Xenopus tropicalis: one gene and its partner. The protein of the gene in region 1 binds, or shares a complex with, the protein of each later gene. Links are inferred from orthologs where the notes say so. Each region holds a gene or a part of one and is shown in the gene's direction. Other genes may lie near its edges.

Evidence for each region.
Region 2: the proteins of senp1 (region 1) and sumo3 are in contact, whole or in part, in a crystal structure (PDB 6NNQ), measured with the Homo sapiens proteins. The link is inferred for Xenopus tropicalis from reciprocal best matches to the Homo sapiens genes SENP1 and SUMO3. Residues at the interface, in NP_001254523.1 of Homo sapiens: Gln440, Asp441, Glu446, Arg449, Leu450, Thr451, Lys455, Trp465, Leu466, Asn467, Asp468, Glu469, Asn494, Thr495, Phe496, Lys500, Arg511, Trp512, Lys514, Lys515, His529, Gly531, Val532, His533, Trp534, Gln597, Gly600, Ser601, Asp602, Cys603; in NP_008867.2 of Homo sapiens: Gln24, Ser53, Arg55, Gln56, Arg58, Arg60, Asp62, Gly63, Pro65, Asn67, Thr69, Asp70, Gln74, Glu76, Asp84, Phe86, Gln87, Gln88, Gln89, Thr90, Gly91, Gly92.

The regions. Positions count from the first base shown.
Region 1 is NC_030678.2:143,514,256-143,518,088, forward strand, and holds part of senp1 (sentrin-specific protease 1), read left to right. Parts: intron 1-34; coding exon 35-114; intron 115-2,298; coding exon 2,299-2,383; intron 2,384-2,472; coding exon 2,473-2,568; intron 2,569-3,833. UniProt on the Homo sapiens protein: Protease that catalyzes two essential functions in the SUMO pathway.
Region 2 is NC_030685.2:55,096,472-55,099,622, forward strand, and holds the end of sumo3 (small ubiquitin-related modifier 3), read left to right. Parts: coding exon 1-21; intron 22-368; coding exon 369-440; intron 441-1,207; coding exon 1,208-1,270; 3' UTR 1,271-2,641; downstream 2,642-3,151. UniProt on the Homo sapiens protein: Ubiquitin-like protein which can be covalently attached to target lysines either as a monomer or as a lysine-linked polymer. Does not seem to be involved in protein degradation and may function as an antagonist of ubiquitin in the degradation process.

The DNA.
Region 1 (3,833 bases):
AATTAATTTGTAATGGCACTTTCTGTTTTAATAGGTTGTAGACTTTAGAAAAAAGTCCATCCTGTACTTTGATTCAATGGGCGGATTAAACAATGAAGCATGCAAAATACTGTTGTAAGTAATTGTTTTTATATGAATTTACTCACTGCCATATATAGCTGCATACTAAGCAAACCTTCCAGTTGTTTGTGGCTGCCTGGCCAAGCCAAAGGGTCAGCCAGATGTGGGCAGCCACATCCGTGCAGTGCAATTTACTAGTGGTTCACACATTAGAAGATCACATAGGAAATATCCCATGCTTGACGAAATTAAAGGGGTAGTTTACCTTTAAGTTAACTTTCAGTGTGTTATAGAATGTCCTATTCTTAGCAGCTTTTCAAATGGTCTTCATATTTTAAAGTTTTTAAATTATTTGCTTTCCTCTTCTGTCTCTTTTCAGCTTTAAAATGGGGGTTACTGATACCAAAGGCAAAAAACTGTTTGGTTCTGTTTGGCTACAATTTTACTGTTATTGTTAATTTTTATTAATTAAAAAAATAATAGGCTTTAGTTAAGGCTCTCATTTAAACCTCTGCCTAGTAATTTGGACCCTAGAAACCAAATAGCTGCTGAAATTCCACACTGGAGAGCTGCTTTAATAAAAAAAAAAAAACTAAATTAAAAACGCAGAAATAAAAAATAAAGACCAATTGCAGATTGACTCTACATCATACTAAAAGTTAGTTTAAAAGAGTATAACCCTTTTTAAGTTGACAGACTGTTCACTTAACCTGGATATTTAAGAATTTTTATTTTCAAGCAATGTTAAGTAATAGTGATGTACAGGTCGACAAAAATTCAGCCCGTGCCTGACCAGCCCATCTCTGACATCACGTAGGGGGTGGGGCAAGGTAGACACACATATAAAATTGCTTCTCCTGTAGGGGGCGCAGTTAGGAAGGGCGACAGGAAGAGGTCGTCCTGAACCTGCCCGTGACCCGAGGAACTTATGTGCGTGTTGGTGCTAGTCTGCCCGCCCCTGTGGGTCCCGCAGGTGTTGGGCTGGCCCGCACATCATTATTGAGTGCAAATAATATTGGTATTTATTATGCATAGACTGTTTTATATGGGGAAGCTTTTATATTTACTGTTGCCAAAAAAAAATAAACTCCAGTACTAAAGAGCCTGTAGTGGCTCTATTATCATGAAAAGTACAAGTTTGCTTGAGCAATAATTAAAGGAATACTGTCATGGGAAAATATATATTATATAATATATATATATATAGATATATAGATATATAGATATATAGATATATAGATATATATATATATAGATATAGATATATATATATATAAGATATATATATATATATATAGATATATATATATATATAGATATATATATATAGATATATATATATAGATATATATATAGATATATATATAGATATATAGATATATATATATATAATATAGAAAAAGGCTGAGACACACACTTATAGGGATAACAACCTGGGTGCAAATCAGATAAACAATGTAAATATGTAAAAAATGCTGATGCACACCAGGAAAATTTTATCAAAAAAAAAGATACCCGAAACGTCGATCTAAGTATCTTTTTTTTGATAAAATTTTCCTGGTGTGCATCAGCATTTTTTACATATATATATATATAATATATATATATTTTTTTTTTAAACGCATCTGTTAATAGAGCTTCTCCAGCAGAATCCTGCATTGAAATCCATTTTTCAAAAATGTAAATGGATTTTTTTATATTTAATTTCGACATTTCACATATTTCCCAGGGTGCCACAGCCATGTGACCTGTGCTCTGATAAACTTCAGTTGCAATTTATTGCTGAGCTGCAAGTTGGAGTGATATCACCCCCCTCCCAGCAGCAGATCAGCAGAACAATGGGAAGGGAGCAAGATAGCAGCTCCCAGTAGATATCAGAATAGCACTCAATAGTAAGAAATCCAAGTCCAGCTTGGGACTCCTCCAGTTATATGGGAGCAGGAGAAACAATAGGTTACCTGAAAGCAGTTCTAATGTGTAGCACTTCCTCCTGAAAGCTCAGAATTTGTTGGTTCAAGAATAAAATTTTAAATAGTAGAGTGAATTATTTGCTATGTAAACTGTAATTTAGAATAAAAATCATGACAGAATCCCTTTAATTAGTAATTTACATAAATACTGTTTCTGAGAATCAAAAGGCAAATGAATGACAGCCCACACATACGTAGATGAGCCACTTGTTCATTTGTTGTATGAAATGCTTTTGTTTTAATTATGCATTTAATAATCATCTTGCAGACAATACCTGAAACAGGAAAGCATTGATAAAAAAGGCGTAAGTTTTGACTCAAATGGTTGGACCCTTACCAGCAAGACAAGCGAGGTATGCTGTCATCCCGAATGGGTTTTAGTCATTGGTGCACAATTTTTTTATTTATTCCTTTGTAAATTTCTGATGATTTTTTTTCTTAGGAAATCCCACAACAAATGAATGGCAGTGATTGTGGAATGTTTGCCTGCAAGTATGCAGATTATATCACCAAAGATAAGTCTATTACCTTTACACAGGTATGCCAGCTCAGCTGCCTTTATGGTTATTATACTCCGATGTAGGTCCTGGGCACACATAGAGGCCAAATTTCAGACAATTGAAAGTATGATAGGAAAAATTCGGATTAAATCCGATAATTTCTGATGTGCATTTAAAAACGTGAACATTTCGTATCGTGGTGGTACGAAAATATTGTGGAATGATCTGAAAGTTGTGAAATTTTTGTATACGAACGATCTTAAACATCGTGAAAACCTTTCTGACTTTGATCCTTCTGTGCATGATTTTGGAAGCCTCAGGACTCAATGGCACTCTGCAGCTCCAACCTGGTCAAAGGAAAGTCACGATAACGAAGCTTTGAATGAATAACATTCTCATTGCGACAAATACGATTTTGTTGCACAAATTGTTGCAAATTAACAAAAAAATTGCTGAAAAAAATGCACAGTTCTAAAACTTAGAAAAAATACGAATTTTTAGTATTCATACACAATCGTACATTGATAAATGGGCCCCATAGCGCAGGATCTGCTTTTCTTCGCCTGCATTTTGTAGGCAGGTGGAGAAAAGTGGATCCACTCTTATCCACAGCTCCATGTAGCTGCATTGACAGGCTTAGCTTTAGCCAGGGTGCAGCCTCACAGAGCGAAGGTCAGCCTGAAAATGCCTGCTTTCATATTTTTATGCCTTTAACAGCACCTATGGCTGCATAGAATAAATAATATCCATAATGGGCATCCCTCCAGGTATGCATGCTAGAACTTTAGAATTGTTTGAGAGTAGGACTTCTGTTAAATATGACAGCAGTTAGACTTGCTAAAATAATAAGACTGGATTTCTTTTCAGTTGGCGATAGTGGCTGAATGCATAGGTACAGGAGAGAAAGTCTGGAACCCAGCTCAGGGGGCTTGGAATTGTAGTAAAGTTGTGCATTAGAGAGGTTCTTTCATACTTCCTAGCTTTGGGACTCCTCTCATTTTTTACAACTTTTACAAATTTCCTACAAATTTTTGTGACATTCATTTTTACAAATTTGAATGCTTTTAGATAGTTTAAATATAAAATATGTTAAAAATATATCTCCTGTTGACTCCAGTACAAGGTCACCAGGTTTTAGCTGCCACATGTTTTCATTCAGATTTGAGATTTATTTATTTTATTGAAAAATAAAACTCTGTCAAATATTAATAAATAGGTCCTTTACACCCATGGCACAGGAATTGTTGATCTCCTCGGTCCTCTCAAGGAGGTGACTGCAGTGATGGCTATGTTACTGCTCAAT
Region 2 (3,151 bases), on another chromosome or scaffold:
AAAGCTTACTGCGACAGACAGGTATACTTTATATGCCATAAGTAATCTCATGACTACTTCGGCTTTCTTTGTAGTCTGCAGGTTAAAATTTGGTTGCTAGGAATAGGAATTCTATGGCATACTAAAACTTAACGTAAAGGTGAACCACCCCTTTCAAATATTGTGGCCTCCCTAAAACAGGGATGAAAACTACAATTATTTTAGGACACCACTAGGACTACAAGGTAAATTGCACTACTTTGCAGCTGGCATCTAAGACATCTTATGAGTAGGGAATCATTATAAAAAAGGCTAGCAGTCCCTATCAAGCAGTTAGAAATTATTTCAAAAACATTATAAATTATTATAATACTTTATCCTTTTCAAAGGGCCTATCAATGCGGCAGATAAGGTTCAGGTTTGATGGACAACCAATCAATGAAACAGACACACCTGCACAGGTATGTGAATGCTTATACTTGATGTCAACTTTTGTGTCACTACAAGCTAGTTTAGGTATTCGTGCTGTAATTTGTATATTTTATGTATCATGCCTTTCCCAACTTTAACATAGTAGGTACATTAAGCATTAATGTTGCCAGTGAAGCTGGAAAAGTTGCAATGATAGTAGGTCTTTATGTACAGTTGTTTGAGTCATTTTTCTTCTCAGAGGTATTTAAAATAATAAAAGAAAACCCTAAACCCCCAAAATATTGCCATTGTAGGACCCCGCACCATACCAATATCCGCTGTGTAAATTACTTCTGTGAAGGCCTTAGGTTCAGGATCTGTCTGACCTGCACCCAACCCAAACCTGCAATAGTTGCCTAAGCTTCAACCCTGACCTGCCTGACCCTAAGGGTTAAACCTGTGGGTTTTTGGTTAACCTGCACATCACTATTGTAAAGATAAGCAGAAGAGCAACAGGACATAAAACCTAGAATGATGCCACTAAATAGTGATAGAATACTAGTAAATACAATAGTGAATTTAAAAAGCTAGTGTAAAGGTGGCAATACACAGTAAGATCAGCTCAAGGTCGCAAATGATATGCCCCCTATTTCTGACCTATTGTAGGTCTGGGTTGATGTGGACTACTGGTGGTAGTCTACATCATTGTAGTTGCTACTTTTTAACTGTGCAGGCCCAAGACCTTTAAAGATATATATTGTGTTTCTCCATTATCCTCGTCATGAAAAAGATGTTTGTTTGTCTTTTTGACCCAAAGCTGGAGATGGAAGATGAAGATACCATTGATGTGTTCCAACAACAGACAGGTGGTGTGTGCTAAGCACTGAACAAGTTCAATCTCCAGTATGGCAGGAGCTCAAATTCCCTCCATATGCCTCATTTCTCACCTATGCCCCTTGGATTTGCTGTTAAATAGTTAACACAGAACAAACATGCTGATCACACGACACTTCTGAAAACGTTGGCGGACTCTCCCAGGGATGATATTCAATCAGAAATGCAGTTTTCTTTTCCAGCTGAACGTGCCAGAAGTTGTAAAGTGGGCCAATCTAGAGCATTGTCTTTCTCTGCTGAAAGTTTTCAGGCTTTTTTGTGCAGTACTGTTTGTTTACAGCAGTTCTGTTTAGTTTTTCCCTCTGTATCTTCAGATGTAAATAATTGGATCCTTGCTTGAGTAATTTTTGAGCCAGTTCCATGCCAGAGTGTGTGGTTTTGCATATTCTCTGACATGCAAACAGTAAATGCTTGCCCACACAGGCAACTGAAAGATGTGAAAATTAAGGTTGTTATACCAGTAATGGCAGATGGGAGGGAGGGGATATGCTTTTATTTGCTAAAATGTTTCATTTGAACATTATCTATCAAAAGGATGTAAGGGTTGTATATATAGATATTTGTATACCCAGGTACTGAATCTGAAAAAAAAAACAAAAACTTTCAAAAGAGTTAAGACTTTGGGTGGCTATGTTTCACTGCTGAATAGGATTTAGAGAATGAAGCACAATTCTGCTGACTGCTTGGACCAACAGGTTTTACCCACTTCTCTTATGCGAGACAAAAATCATGCCTTCTAATATACTAATAGCAGCAGAGGTTTTACCATTCTGCAAATCAGGCTAGATGCGTGAGTGCAAAATTTTGGCACTTCAAAAATTCAGACGTTTTACTACATTTGTCAATGGCTCACCCTGCTTTTTATCTGCTGCACAGGAGCACTTTTTTCAGTTCCAGATTAAAAAAAATAAATAAATAAAAACTGACAGCATGGGCTCTTTGGTGGTGGTCCATTCAATGTCAGAAATTTTTGGTGTTCCCGACTATAGTGTGCGAATTATGGGTCCCAAAAAACGGTTTTAAAATCTCTACATTCCCTTTAAGAATCCTTCTTGAAGTTGTAGTTTATATATCTGAGCGTGCTCTTCCTAGCAGTGTTCAGTAGCAAAAGATGTTCAATACTGCAAGTTAGTAGTTTTATTCCAACAATGTTCTTCAGGTTTTCCCTTTGTGCTAGTTTTACAGTGCCAGCCAAAGATACATATAAAAAAAATTCCCTCCCTCAATCTCTAAGATTTTGAATTATGATGCTCAGTTGTCTATAGTGTGGTCCCTTTTTTTTTTTAATTGTACTTTCTGGATAAATGTATTCTTTCAACAAAATAAAGAAAAGTCAGAATTTCTGTTTACTTTTGCAGCAGAGTTGTACTGTATTTATGATTACAGATGTTTTATGTTGACATCTAAGCATTACAAAATTGCAATAAACCCTTAGAAGCCTCTCTAGTGAACAAAATATTGCAAATGGATTTTTTTTTGGTTTGTGGCGCAGTTGTCAAGTCCAGTTGCACACATTGATTTTTGAATTAACAGGGAGCCATTTAATGTGTTTTTTGTTTTTAATTTAATCACTGCACAAAGTTTCATTCATTTTGCATACTTGTTTGCTCTTGCCTTTGTTTCATGAAAATCCTTGGTTTTTCTGTCTAAAAAGTGGTTCCAGAAGCGACTCATCGCGATTGAAGAGACCCTCACAGATTTGCTTGCAAAACAGCAGAAATCCTGGAAATGAATCTGGCTGAATCTTGCCCACTGGAGTTTAAAACACTGCTAGGGTAGCTGCTGGTCAGGCCCCCAAACAAATAAGTAAACTGTTTTATGGCTGTTGCTAAATTTAACTTAAAATAGTCTTTAGTGTTTCGTAAAT